3 linked regions of the Saccharomyces cerevisiae S288C genome follow. The protein of the gene in region 2 interacts with the protein of the main gene of each other region in a pairwise test. Each region holds a gene or a part of one and is shown on either strand. Other genes may lie near its edges.

The links.
Region 1: the proteins of GPR1 (region 2) and PLC1 interact in a two-hybrid assay, tested with the Saccharomyces cerevisiae proteins (one study listed by BioGRID).
Region 3: the proteins of GPR1 (region 2) and GPA2 interact in a two-hybrid assay, tested with the Saccharomyces cerevisiae proteins (4 studies listed by BioGRID).

The regions. Positions count from the first base shown.
Region 1 is NC_001148.4:33,405-38,709, forward strand, and holds PLC1 (phosphatidylinositol phospholipase C), read left to right. Parts: upstream 1-1,831; coding exon 1,832-4,441; downstream 4,442-5,305. Other genes in the region: KAR9 (Kar9p), read left to right, coding at 1-1,543; ACM1 (Acm1p), read left to right, coding at 4,765-5,305. UniProt on the Saccharomyces cerevisiae protein: The production of the second messenger molecules diacylglycerol (DAG) and inositol 1,4,5-trisphosphate (IP3) is mediated by activated phosphatidylinositol-specific phospholipase C enzymes. Required for cell growth, osmoresistance and expression of GPD1.
Region 2 is NC_001136.10:388,590-394,255, forward strand, and holds GPR1 (Gpr1p), read right to left. Parts: upstream 3,469-5,666; coding exon 583-3,468; downstream 1-582. Other genes in the region: pseudouridine synthase PUS9, read right to left, coding at 1-312; SLM3 (tRNA-5-taurinomethyluridine 2-sulfurtransferase), read right to left, coding at 4,070-5,323; ATP-dependent RNA helicase DBP10, read left to right, coding at 5,628-5,666. UniProt on the Saccharomyces cerevisiae protein: Seems to associate with GPA2 and act as G protein-coupled receptor that senses glucose and controls filamentous growth.
Region 3 is NC_001137.3:193,191-197,233, forward strand, and holds GPA2 (guanine nucleotide-binding protein subunit alpha), read left to right. Parts: upstream 1-1,977; coding exon 1,978-3,327; downstream 3,328-4,043. Other genes in the region: ISC1 (inositol phosphosphingolipid phospholipase), read left to right, coding at 1-1,040; Arf family guanine nucleotide exchange factor SBH2, read right to left, coding at 1,083-1,349; proteasome regulatory particle lid subunit RPN3, read left to right, coding at 3,758-4,043. UniProt on the Saccharomyces cerevisiae protein: Alpha subunit of the heterotrimeric guanine nucleotide-binding protein (G protein) involved in glucose-induced cAMP signaling.

The sequences.
Region 1 (5,305 bases), on a different chromosome or scaffold from region 2:
TAGCCCGATGTTTGACGTCATAGAAGAATCTACACAAATTAAGACTCAGTTGGAGCCATGGCTTACTAACTTGAAGGAATTATTGGATACGTCATTGGAATTTAACGAAATTTCAAAGGATCATATGGATACATTACATAAAATCATTAATAGCAATATATCGTATTGTCTGGAAATTCAGGAAGAAAGGTTCGCGTCCCCGATACGGCATACTCCATCATTTACCCTAGAACAACTAGTCAAGTTATTAGGAACGCATACGGAGACAACTGAGCCAAAGGTACCAAAATTTTCTCCGGCAGAAGATATTTTATCAAGAAAGTTCTTGAACCTAAAAAAAAATATCCCTCCAATTGAAAAAAGTTTGACTGATATCCTACCTCAAAGAATTGTGCAATTTGGGCACCGGAATATAACAAACATAACTACTTTGCAAACAATCTTGCAAAAAAAATACGAGCTGATAATGAAAGATTATAGATTTATGAATTCAGAGTTTAGGGAATTGAAAGTCGAACTAATCGACAAACGTTGGAATATACTCTTTATTAATTTAAATCATGAACTATTATACATTCTTGATGAGATAGAAAGGTTGCAGTCGAAATTACTGACAACAAAGTATACCAAAGATATCACTATAAGGCTCGAGAGGCAATTGGAGAGAAAATCAAAAACTGTTTCTAAGACATTCAATATTATTTACAGAGCATTGGAATTCTCACTTTTGGACGCTGGCGTCGCATCGAAGACAAATGAATTAGCTCAAAGATGGCTGAATATCAAGCCTACAGCGGATAAAATTCTAATCAAATCCTCCGCTTCAAACAAAATAGCTACTAGCAAGAAGAAGATTCCAAAACCGAAATCATTAGGCTTTGGGCGACCGAATAGTGTTATTGGAACTATAACCCAGGATTTCCAGGAGAGAGTCGCCATTAATGAAGGTGACAGTAATAAAACACCGGAAAATTCAACTACAGTGGCTTTGAAAGGTAAAAAGCTTGGTAAAGCGTTACTGCAGAAGATGAATATTAAACCTGCAACAAGCCCAAATTCATCAAATGCGATTAATCCATTTTTTGATCCGGAGTCGCCAAACAAAGGAAAACTGATACTAAGTAGTGTTCCTCCCTTACCTTATGACGAAACCGATGAAACCACCCTCCGTGTTTCTCGTGGGGAAAATGAAAAGTCACCAGACTCCTTCATTACATCTCGGCATGAAAATAAAGTACAGATTACAGAAACTCCTTTGATGGCAAAGAATAAGTCTGTGCTTGACATCGAAAAAGATAAATGGAATCATTACCGGTCCTTGCCCTCTAGGATCCCTATATACAAGGATAAAGTGGTGAAAGTCACCGTAGAAAACACACCGATAGCAAAGGTTTTCCAGACTCCGCCAACAAAAATCACGACACCTAATAGTCAAGTTTGGGTCCCTTCGACAAGAAGAAGAACCCGATTGAGGCCTCCCACCCCCTTATCACAGTTACTTTCACCAAGAGAAGGGCGTTTAGATAAAACCCCAACTTATTGATACTAACCTAAAACTGTATACTTATACATTTTTATATATCCTCCCTCTCACCCTCTCCATTCATAGAATTTGTAATACTAGTTTAAATAATGTAATATTATGTGTAATTTTAAATAGTCCATGAAGATTCCGCACGTTTTCATTTTACAGTTTTTGACACCTTTACCCGACGCTTTATAAAAAAAATAGTATAAGCATCACGACATAAGCAGCCTCAGGTCATTAAAACAATAAAAGACTGGGAATTATAAACGTACAACGGTAAGGTCATTCACGCAGTGTATATGAATGACTGAAAGTGCTATAGATGACCAAAGGTTTAATCTTACAAAGGAGTTACAACGACACTCATGCAGAGATCAAGGGAAAATAACACAAAAGGATGATGCTTTAGATTTTATAAGTTACAGTTCTTTTCAATCCTCTTTTAATACTGACCAAAAAAGCGCGAACAATGGAAGTACTGTGAGAAGAAGCATAAGGTCGATTTTTAGAAGAGCAGCCGAATTGCCTAGAGTCCATATGGGGCCTCTTACTTATTCACATGGGATAAATGAGCTTGTTAACAAGAAATTAAGAAAAGACTGTGATCTCAGCACGCTATGTCGCGTATTGCAAAGAGGAATCAGGATGATTAGGATGACAAGAAGAAGAAGGAAGTTCTATGAATTTAAATTAATCAATAACAACGGGCAAATAATATGGAAAGATGGTTCGAAGTATCTGGAATTAGACTCCGTTAAAGACATCAGAATCGGTGATACGGCGAGTACTTATCAAGAGGAAGTAGATCCGAAAAGATTGAGATCGGACAGTAAACTTTGGATTGCTATTATTTATAAGGTTTCCAACAAATTGAAAGCGTTACACGTAGTTGCTTTGAATGAATTGGACTTTAACACATTCTTAAGCTGCATTTGCGGTTTAGTGAAGTTAAGGAGGGAATTAATGGAAAGCATACTTTTGCCTGATAATTCGCAATTCGCTAGGATACATTGGCAAATTACTGTTTCTGAAAAAGAGGAAGATGAGAAAAAGGACACATTGAGCTTTGCAGATGTGAAGAAACTATGTGATAAATTTCATATTTATGTGTCAACTGGTCAATTGTTAGAGTTTTTCCAATTAGCAGACATCAATCATAACGGACTATTAAATTATTTTGAATTTGAAAAGTTCATTAAAATCTTAAAGAATAGGAAAGAGGTAAATATGATTTGGTCTAAATTTACAAAACCTCCACACTCCCACTTATCATTTGAAAATTTTTTTCAATTTTTAATTACAGAGCAGCATGAGCAAGTGGATCGTCAAACTGCATGGTCATATTTTATTAAGTACAGAGAACCGACTCAGCTGACGATGGGGCAAGATGGTTTTACCAAGTTCTTGAAGGAGCAACCATATTTGGTGGAGGTTAAAGAGGAGTTATATTCAAAGCCATTAAACCATTATTTTATTGCATCTTCACATAATACTTATTTATTGGGGAAACAAATTGCAGAAACTCCATCTGTGGAGGGATATATTCAAGTCCTACAACAAGGTTGTAGGTGCGTAGAAATTGATATATGGGATGGTGAAAATGGGCCAGTGGTATGCCATGGATTTTTAACGTCAGCTATTCCCTTAAAAACAGTTATACGCGTGATAAAGAAGTACGCTTTTATAACGTCTCCGTATCCTTTGATTATTTCACTGGAAATAAACTGTAACAAGGATAATCAAAAATTGGCAAGCCTGATAATGAGAGAGGTTTTAGCAGAACAGCTGTACTTTGTTGGCACAAGAACTGATAAACTGCCATCACCAAGGGAATTAAAACATAAAATACTGTTGAAATCCAAGAAGACGAGTGAAGCAACTAGAGGTCTTAGCGTTAATGAGCCATTTCCATCTTCTTTTAGTTCTTCTTACGAATCAGCTAATGAACAGGAATTAAGAATGAAAGATGACTCCACGAACAGTAGTAGCGCAACAAATTCTTCTAGTATGCAACGCATCAAAAGAATTGGATTAAAAAAGCACGCTGATATAATTAATGATGTTTCTAACATTTCTGGAATACATGGCATCAAGTTCAGGAATTTCTCTTTACCAGAGTCCAAAACGATAGCGCATTGTTTTTCACTGAATGAGCGCAAAGTAGAATACATGATAAAAGACAAACACTTAAAATTATCGTTGGATAAACATAATAGAAGATATTTGATGAGAGTCTATCCTCACGTTTTACGATACAAATCATCAAATTTTAACCCAATACCTTTTTGGAAGGCCGGTGTACAAATGGTGGCTACGAATTGGCAAACTAATGATATTGGACAGCAACTTAATCTGGCAATGTTTCAAATATTAGATCACCAACCTGATGGAAGTTTTAAATCAGGATACGTGCTAAAACCAAAAAAGTTGCTACCTGTAGTAACAAAGGCGAAAATGATTCCATTAATTTACGAACATTTTGAAAATGGTAGTGATCCTGTTACTGTTAAAATTCGAATTTTATCTACACAGTTATTGCCCAGATTGAATGATACATCGCCAAGCAGAAATAACACCAATTCCTTTGTTAAAGTGGAGTTTCATACCGATGACGAGCCGACAATGCCCATCTCAATCGATAAGGGTACAAGGATTTCTGCCACTGAAGCATCCACTAAGAGTTCTCAAGGGAATGGATTCAACCCAATATGGGATGCTGAAGTTTCTATCACATTGAAAGATACAGACCTCACATTTATAAAATTCATGGTTATCTCTGAAGAGACCCAGATTGCATCTGTTTGCCTTAAGCTGAACTATTTGAGGATGGGATATCGTCACATTCCGTTGTTTAACATGGAGGGGGAACAATACATATTTTGCACTTTATTTATTCATACACAAATTTTATAGGCGATCTTTTTCCGGCCAAATACACATATTCATAAATACGTACATATACCTACTTGCATATACCAACATGATTACCTAGAATGGATATATCAAATGGGACGACGAAGTACCACGACAATACACAATAACAACTTCTGTTTTTCGCTGATTGCCTTCTCTTCAGCAGAAAGTTGATGCATATTTCGCGTAGCGCGTTGACGCGTCTTCTTTCTGAAGTTTTGTGCTTTTGTTATCATACTATATAAAGTAAAAAGAAAGGAGAACATATTAAGCATTACTGAATTAGGATCCTTTGGAAGAAATAAAGTAAGAGACACTGAAAGATGATATCACCATCAAAAAAGAGAACCATTTTATCAAGCAAGAATATAAACCAAAAACCACGAGCAGTGGTAAAAGGCAATGAACTTCGTTCACCATCAAAGAGAAGGTCACAAATAGACACAGACTATGCACTAAGGCGAAGTCCAATAAAGACAATCCAAATTTCTAAAGCTGCACAATTTATGCTGTATGAGGAAACGGCTGAAGAAAGAAACATAGCTGTCCACAGACATAATGAAATATACAATAATAACAATTCTGTGAGCAATGAGAATAATCCTTCCCAAGTAAAAGAAAACCTTTCACCCGCTAAAATTTGCCCTTATGAAAGAGCATTTTTAAGGGAAGGAGGAAGAATTGCATTGAAGGACTTAAGTGTTGACGAATTCAAAGGTTACATACAGGATCCTCTCACCGATGAGACTATACCACTGACGTTGCCACTGGGTGATAAAAAAATCAGCCTACCCAGTTTTATAACGCCGCCAAGAAATTCGAAGATATCTATTTTCTTCACTAGTAAACACCAAGGACAGAACC
Region 2 (5,666 bases):
AGGGCCATCGATGACAATTTCATACTCTGGATCTAGTTGTCTATGTTTCTCTTTTTTGCTGCCTATCGTTCGTGATTGAAAAGTAGATTTATTAATCAAATCTGGCGATTTTTTTGATTGAGTTCGCTTTATTTTTTTTTTCTTTTGAATTTCCCTCTCTCTTTCAACCTCATTTTGCAAATGTTCATCAAACTCATTTGAGGTTGCATTACCTGCAAAAGCAAGACCTGCAGATAATGCATTCCTTTTGAGTTGTCGAGCCATTATTACTGGCACTGTAAACAAATTTCTTAACCTATTATTTCTTTGCATAAGTTTCCTATTCCATTATACGAGCACTCATCCATTTTCAAAAGTTTTTTATGAACTTTTTCTTAACTCGGTCTTTTGTTCTCTAATGGTTCGCCGCCAGACAGAAAAAAAGCTTACTTATCGAGGAATCACATTGCTTCAATGAATAAATTCTATAATGCATATACTACCTAACATATATAAGAGAAGTGAGCGTCATTCATGTCGGCTACTTGTCAATTTGTATTACGTTCCTTACTTTCCATTTTCAAACATCGCGATACAAAAACTTTATAATGGTCCATTTCTTAAGAAGGCTATCAAATCTATGCCGCTACTATCACTACTATCATTATCGTTCTGCGCCTCAATTATTGGATCAGGAGTCGTACCTGGTATTGTGGGCTTGACCAGATAATTTTCAGATGCACTAGCATCTGAATAGCGTAAATTCTTATCCTCTTCAATGCTATTCTCATCATCGTTTGTGACAATATTGCTTGAAAAGAAGCTGGATTTGACCATACTGTTAGTTGAGACGTCCTGATGTTTATCGTGACTTTTATTTTGGTTTAATGCAAATTTCAACCCGGGTAGAGAAAAATGGTCGTTATTGTACCGTATTTTCAACAATCTGTTTAACTCATCAAGATCTATTCCGCCAAGCATTGGAATATGATGAATGATCCTCCAAAACAAGGGCACTTCAACCTCTTCGGCCGTGATGTTATTAAGCATTGCCTGTAGTTCAAGTGAATTTGATGGAAGGGAGCGATCGCTACTATTCGTTTTAGTCTCATCAGATTCTGTGCGTTTATTATCGTTTGAATCTTTGGCTGAATAGTAGTTTTCCCAGTATTCAAAATCGTCACAATTGTCATAAAAACTAAAGTGTAGTTTTAGTTCAAACAATTGTTTAAAGAAGCGTTCAACAAACCACAGTATACGCTTCAGAGGGTTTGTAGAATATTTCCAGCATTTTCTTTTCTTCCACTTACCACGATAATACCAACCTCTTTTCCCCCAATTGCTGTGACAAAACTTCAGAATTTCCTTTTCACCAAGCTCTCCTTTCAGAATATATTTTTCAATGAGATATTTTGATTCTGTTTTTGCCCATGAATAGTTCCAAGGTTTTTCCTTGAACAGGTAAACAATGACGTCGACGAGACAACTTAATGGTCGAACGCAAGTGTCAATGTATGTCACCCACATGGTAGGCCCATGCTTTATTTCATGATTGTATTGCAACGCATCTGCAATGATGGGGAAAAGCCATATCCCAATATACGACAGTGGATAAATGAATATTGCCCTTAGATTCTTTTGAATTTGTGCCCTACGTTTTTTCATTTGTTTGTAGGTTTGGGCTTGGAAATGCTGTTGTACGTTGGTGAAACTTGAATTTTCGCATCTGTCTGCATTATTATTCACTCTCTCCTGTGAAAATTGTTGAGACGGAGTAAATGCTTCATTAGAAAGTGTAGGAATATTATCGGCTGGATTAGTATTATTGTTATCAACGTTATTTTTAATATTATTACTATTATTATTATTATTGTTGTTGTTGTTGTTATTGTTATTATTATTGTTATTATTATTATTGTTATTATTATTATTGTTATTATTATTATTGCTATTATTGTTATCGTTATCGTTATCGTTATTGTTGTTGTTGTCGTCGTCGTCGTTGTTACTGTTGTTGTTGATGATGCCTCCTTTTTCCTTAATGTTACTAGTTATGTCGCTGTTATCGTTCTTATTATCATACATTGCTAAAGGAGATTCTAGAGAATTTTGGCAAGAGAAAGTCTGATGTCCCAGCATTGAACTTTTTCTTGTATCCAGTCCTTCATTTTCAACACTAAAAGTAACTTTATGCTCCTTTTGCTTGGATACTAGTTCCGAAGGATTGAGTGTGATGTCATTTTCACAATCAAAAGGATTATTTCTTTCCAAATCTGGCTGTTCAGACATTGCATATTTGGACATATCGAGTGGTTTAGCACTGTTATAGTCAAGTAAGCGAACTCCACCACTTGCCGAGACATTCTCATCACTACCTGTATTTGTTTTTCTGAATAGTGTAGGTATCTCATTCGAACTCTCACCAAAATTGAAAGTTCCATTACTACTACCTGAATCGTCTGTTTCCTCATTCGGATCTATGAACGAAATGGTGAAAAAATTCTTTAAATTTCTCAAAAGATGTAGCAATGGCAATTTAAAATAGGATCTGAAATACCATTTGGCTTTTCCCCAGTGACCGAGCCCAAATAATTTTTTCTTTTCTTTCTCTTCCTCTAGTACGTTATGGTTAAAGTCTCCAATTTGCGCTTTAATTCTTTTACTTTCACTGGTAATGAAAATATAAATACTGAGGTAGACTGCAAATATGAAAATAATAATGAAATATCTGGGACCCCAGCTTAAAACAATTTTATACCAGTACGGCTTGGGTGGTAAATAGCACCATGCACTCCAAGGTTTGTAGCCACCTTGCCTGGGAGAATCGGGAAAGTTGTAGTTATTATTATCCAGTATAATAGTGGTGTCAGAATCGTCATTGAGTTTATTATAATTAATGAAGGCTAAGCTTGCTAAAATGGCAGGTACTAATGCAGTAATTGGCCAGATATATGACCTTTTTTTGTACAAGCCACCCTCCATATTTCCCGATCTTTTATTTCGCCATTTCCAATTAGGCTTGAAGATCAAAATAGCAAAATGTATGGCGAATATCATTATGGCCATGTCTGCACCTTCGATGGCAAAGGCCGTAAACCAACCCAAGGTATTAAAAAATGCAGGTGTTGCATACACACTATTATTAATAAGGATAATCATGGGATAAATCATCAGAATAAAAGCTTTAAGAAAGTCGCAAATTATCAAAAATGCGATGAGATCATGTCTGAAGACTTTTCGTCTCTTATCCATTTTAGAAAGGAAGAACATTCCGAGGCAACCGGCAATAAGGGACACGGCAGACGCAGTTATAGCTATTATTCTTAACTGCAACAGTTGCGGAGCCGTGAATGTAGAGGTCATCCCCGGCAACCCCAGCAGCTGGTTAACCGTGGTAGTGTTAAGCTGTCGGAGAGAATCAACTCTCTTTTCTAGTAAGGATGACCCTTTCAACGCGTTTAAATTCGGGGGAAATCCCTCAGTTATCATTTTGAGTTGGAGAGTTTGCTTTATTCGTCACACTTCGGATCACTTGTTTGTCGTTTTTTTTTTTTGGTGACTCTTACTGCTTTTTATAGACACACACACACACACACACACACACCTTCTTCTGGATACCGTAGAGAAAGGGATGTAGACAAATAAAAAAGGACAAAAGCTAGAAAAAAGACGGAAGAGGACGTGCGATTGCGTTGAATATGACCTTCGCAAATAAATATTAATAAATATGACGTTTTTGCCGCAATGCTAATTCTATAACCCACTCCTTCGTTGCCTTCTATGCTTTAATTAAACAATGGGTCCGGCTCAAACCTGGAAGGAAGATTTATAAATCTTGAAAAGAAAAAAAAGTGTGATTTAAAAAAATGAAAAAGAAAAACAAGAGGGCAAAAAAAAATGAACTACTTATTGAGACATGATTCAAGGGAAAAGACCTTCATATATACAGATTACTTTTCGAAATGGTCAGCCGCTTCATGAGCTCTTCTTGGCTGTATCGTACCACCGTGGTTCAATTAGGCAAGTATGTTGCTAAGATTAATTGCTGCGGCGCATCGTATAAGGTGATATACTAAATTCATTATCATCACTATGCATGGGTGTCATTATTATTAACATGGGAAATGGGCCCACTCCCAAGGACTCTATCGTCGATATATAGACAGCACGATTGCCCAGGAGTTATGGCACGTTGTTTTGAGGCTAAGTGTATTGTTATGTCGAGGTTGTCGGCAGAGCGATTCAGTTTGCACGATTTAATTTGGACTGGGACCTGCAGGGACCGGAATTGTAATGTCAAGGCACCAGTATTTTGGAAAGCGTTTATAGTGTCCTCCCTGGGGCCCAAAGACGAAAAGTTTTCGATTCGCATAGTGTCACTGTATAGCGCCGGATTATCTCTTCCTCTGACTATCAAGATTTCGTTGGTATCCCTTAGTTTTTCACTGACAAACCAGGTCCCTTGGTAATTAGGGTCAGCTTGTGGCATGGATATGCCCACTTTCTGTCCAATTGTGTAAGACCACAATCCATCGTGTCTGCCCCATGTCGTTTTGGCACCGGATTGTGGGTCAACGGTAATGATATCACCCGGTGAACTGGGTAGGTAGTGCTTTAAAAAATTCTTGAACTTCCCATGCTGGGAATTGTTGACGAAGCATATGCCCTGTGAATCAGGCTTTTCTGCAGTCGGGAGGCCTGCATACTTCGCTAAATCTCGTACTTCTGGTTTCGTTAGATGGCCAATGGGTAGCAACAAAGATGACAAAACAGTGGAGTTGATTTGTGAAAGGTAATAGCTTTGATCCTTGGGCCTATAAATGCTTCTCAGTAAATGGAATAATCCTTTTCCATTCATTTCCTGCATAACTCGGGCGTAATGACCAGTAACAAGCCAATAGTTACCCGTCCCATACTTCTCATCCAGCCACTCTCTCAGCTTGCCGAACTTGACGAACTTGTTGCAACCGATATCTGGATTGGGTGTCGACCCTTCACTGTAGCCTCTCAACATTGGTTCAAATACATCTATCCAATAATCTTGCTCAAAATTAACTTTGTCAACTCGGATGTTCAAATGCTTAGCGACACGGTTCACATCTCTCCAATCCCTCTCGTAGCATGGCTCCTTGCCAGGGTCGTCCAAAGATTGTGATTCAGACCAGTTCTGCATATATACTCCTCGGGTATTTGGAAATTCTCCGGCAAATAGTGCTGCCGCCACAGAGGAATCTACCCCAGATGACATTGCCACTATCACGTTGTCAAACTTTGCCGGTAGCCGCTGTGGTCTGTACGGTGAAGCACTCCTCCGTCCTATTAAATTTAAATATCTTGCCAGCATTGTTATCTGACTTGAATCGATTGCCAAATCAATACGCTCACATTTTTAACGTTCTTGTATGTTTCCAAACTTTCATTCTTTTACAATAAAGCAATGTTTTGCCTCAACTATTGAAAGAAAAAAATAAGAGACCAATTGTTACTACCCGGCGCTCTTAAAATTTTCAAGCGATGAGATGAAATTCATACAAAATGGCTTTACAGAGAGTTACTAGTACTTCACTAACTTCCTACTGCTTGAAGTAAAGTCACTAAAAGTACTTTTGTCATTTAAGTTACCACCACATATCTCTTTAACCTAGAATATGGCAGGCGTGCAGAAAAGAAAAAGGGATCTCGAAGAT
Region 3 (4,043 bases), on a different chromosome or scaffold from region 2:
CTGGGTTGGCCATACTGTCCAAGGTCCCGATAGAGTCGACCTTTCTTTACCGGTTCCCGATAAACGGTAGACCGAGTGCGGTGTTCCGTGGCGACTGGTACGTAGGGAAATCTATAGCAATCACCGTATTGAACACAGGAACCCGCCCCATTGCAATAATGAACAGTCACATGCACGCCCCATACGCCAAGCAGGGTGATGCCGCCTACTTGTGCCACAGATCTTGTCAGGCCTGGGATTTCAGCAGGCTCATTAAGCTTTACAGGCAGGCCGGTTATGCGGTGATTGTGGTGGGTGACTTAAACTCCAGACCGGGCTCACTGCCCCACAAATTTCTCACGCAGGAGGCCGGCCTGGTCGACTCCTGGGAGCAATTGCATGGGAAGCAAGACTTGGCGGTGATCGCTCGTCTGTCTCCATTGCAACAATTGCTTAAGGGCTGTACCACGTGCGATTCGCTGCTCAACACATGGAGGGCCCAAAGACAACCCGATGAGGCATGCAGGTTGGATTATGCTCTTATCGACCCTGATTTCTTGCAAACAGTAGACGCAGGTGTCAGGTTCACTGAACGGATCCCTCACCTGGACTGCAGTGTCTCTGACCATTTTGCATACTCATGCACCCTTAACATCGTCCCACAGGGCACAGAGTCCCGTCCATCCACCTCCGTTAAGCGTGCGAAGACTCATGATAGAGAGCTGATCTTGCAGAGATACTCCAACTACGAAACCATGATAGAATGCATCCACACGTACTTGAAGACAGCCCAAAGACAGAAATTTTTCCGTGGCCTACATTTCTGGGCCTCAATACTTCTCCTAATAGCGTCGTTGGTCGTGACAACGTTTACTGCAAACAAGGCAGGCTGGTCCTCCATCTTCTGGGTCCTTTTCGCTATTGCTGTCTCCATCTCGGGCACCATCGACGGTGCCATCTCCTTCTTGTTTGGCAGGTCTGAAATCAGAGCCCTCATCGAAGTCGAACAAGAGGTTCTGGACGCGGAGCACCACCTGCAAACTTTCTTGAGCGAGAAATGATATTATCGATTTTCTTTAGCATATGTAAAAAAATTACTGATATTATATAATGTGTGTAAATTTCGTCAATAGATGCAAAGCAATCACGGAGAAGATGAAACCGACAGATAGGAACAATACGACAAGGGAGTCGACTCTGAATCCATTGGCTTCGTCCGTATATAACTTCAAAATTGAGCTTGAAGACCCACCGTAACCAGCCTGTCTGGTGGAAGTGGGCGTTTGTTTTGCTTGCTTTTCCTTAATGGATTGTGCCTGTCTTCTCTTCTGCAAGATACGCTGACCTCCTGGTGGAACTGAAGCTGCCATTCTTATGATACTGTTGATCGATAATACCACCTGTTTTATGCTTTGCGCCCCTTACCTTTTCTCACACGCACATATATCTACTCTCTCATACCTCTTATATCTAAAATGTCTCTTTTGGCCAGTTAGTAACTGAATGAAAAAGTGAAAATGGAGGAAAAAAAAAAAGACGAAATCCAAAAGGCTAAGGAAACGGGTAACCCGTGGTACCCGGGGCAGAATCAAACTTATAATTACTAAAGATATACCATATATTACGATCCCTGCGCCCGGCGTGCTCCACATTAAGTAAATGTCTGGAGTAAAATGAAGTCCGCCAATTCAGTCACAAAACATGACTACTGCCTCGTTCGCGATTTCTTCTTCCCTTACTTCATCATGTTCAAGCCCCCTCAGCTGCGCCCAAATGATTCTTCTTATCCTCTTGCATACTGCACCGAAAAAAAAAGTTAATAAGCAGCAGGATTTATAGGCGCGTGCGTGCAGCCTTAGACTGAAGGGGTGGAAAAACTTTAGGTAGGTTTGGTTCTCACTACCCAAAGAGCAATCGATAGGTATAAAAGTGAGCAATTGCTATCACAGCGAGCCTTATTGTTACAGCACAAATCACGCGTATTTTCAAGCAAATATCATGGGTCTCTGCGCATCTTCAGAAAAGAACGGCAGCACTCCTGACACGCAGACCGCCAGCGCTGGTAGTGACAACGTTGGCAAAGCGAAGGTACCACCAAAGCAGGAGCCACAGAAGACTGTGAGAACAGTCAACACAGCAAATCAACAAGAAAAGCAACAACAGAGGCAGCAGCAGCCGTCTCCGCATAATGTTAAGGACCGCAAGGAGCAAAACGGGAGCATTAATAACGCGATATCTCCCACGGCTACGGCAAATACAAGCGGATCGCAACAGATCAATATCGACTCTGCCCTGAGAGACAGGTCGAGTAACGTTGCAGCACAACCATCATTGTCGGACGCTTCAAGTGGCAGCAACGACAAAGAACTGAAAGTGCTACTGCTGGGTGCCGGTGAAAGTGGTAAGTCCACGGTATTGCAGCAGTTGAAGATTTTACACCAGAACGGGTTTAGCGAGCAGGAAATTAAAGAGTACATCCCCTTGATCTATCAGAATCTATTGGAAATTGGCAGGAACCTCATCCAGGCGAGAACAAGGTTTAACGTCAACTTGGAACCGGAGTGTGAACTGACGCAACAAGACCTGTCGAGAACCATGTCCTATGAAATGCCCAATAACTACACGGGCCAATTCCCGGAAGATATCGCGGGCGTAATATCTACGTTGTGGGCCTTGCCCTCAACACAAGATTTAGTCAATGGGCCTAACGCATCGAAGTTCTATCTAATGGACTCGACTCCTTACTTCATGGAAAATTTCACCAGGATCACTTCGCCCAATTACAGACCCACCCAGCAGGACATATTAAGATCGAGACAGATGACGTCAGGGATTTTTGACACCGTCATTGATATGGGGTCGGATATCAAGATGCATATTTACGACGTGGGTGGACAGCGTTCCGAAAGAAAAAAATGGATACACTGCTTCGACAATGTCACTCTGGTCATATTTTGCGTTTCTCTATCGGAGTACGACCAGACGCTGATGGAGGACAAGAACCAGAACAGGTTTCAGGAATCGCTGGTGCTTTTCGATAATATTGTCAACAGTAGATGGTTCGCGCGCACGTCTGTCGTACTCTTTCTGAATAAAATCGACCTTTTTGCTGAAAAACTAAGCAAAGTGCCTATGGAAAATTACTTCCCAGACTACACCGGCGGGTCAGACATCAACAAGGCTGCTAAGTACATACTCTGGAGGTTTGTTCAGTTAAACAGGGCGAATCTAAGCATATATCCTCACGTGACACAGGCCACAGACACGTCGAATATAAGATTAGTATTTGCCGCCATCAAAGAAACAATTTTGGAAAATACATTGAAAGACTCTGGAGTGTTACAATGAATGCACAGCTAAAACAGAGACAAAACTGCATGCCTCTTCTCCCCTTTATTATCACCTTTAAAAAAGATAAAAAAAGAAACTGGAAAAAAGGTAAAAAAAAAAAAAAAATTAAATAAATACGAATACGTTTTCTCATGACCATTGTACTAGTAATCACAACCATGATACTTGAATAACTTTTCTGTTTTGTGCTGTATTAAGCACAACCGTTATTTTTTAATTTATAGCGTTATACCACTATATTATTGTAGTCATTATAGTTATTATCCCGGGTAACAAAAATTTCATTCCAACGAGGTAATAGTTCCACTTTTCAGGCAGGAGGACGAAAAACATTTGCCACCCAAGAAAGAGACAAAGCAGTAGGTAAGGCATTCATCACACAATTTGAAAGGGGGTATAGTAAAAAAAATTCAATTGAGCAAATAGAATGGCTAGCACTGCAGTAATGATGGACGTGGATTCTTCCGGGGTCAATGACTTGCACCATTCTGAGAAGAAATATGCGGAAGAAGATCAGGTTCAGGAACTATTGAAAGTTTTGAATGAGATCTCCAAGACCACTTTAACGCTGGACCCAAGATATATATGGAGGAGTTTAAAGGACTTGAGCTCTTTAAGGAACCAGGAGCTTTTGAATGCGGAAACTTTATGTTTCACAGTGAATGTGCTGTACCCTGATTCTTCTTCATTCAAGAAGAATCTGCTGAAGTTCA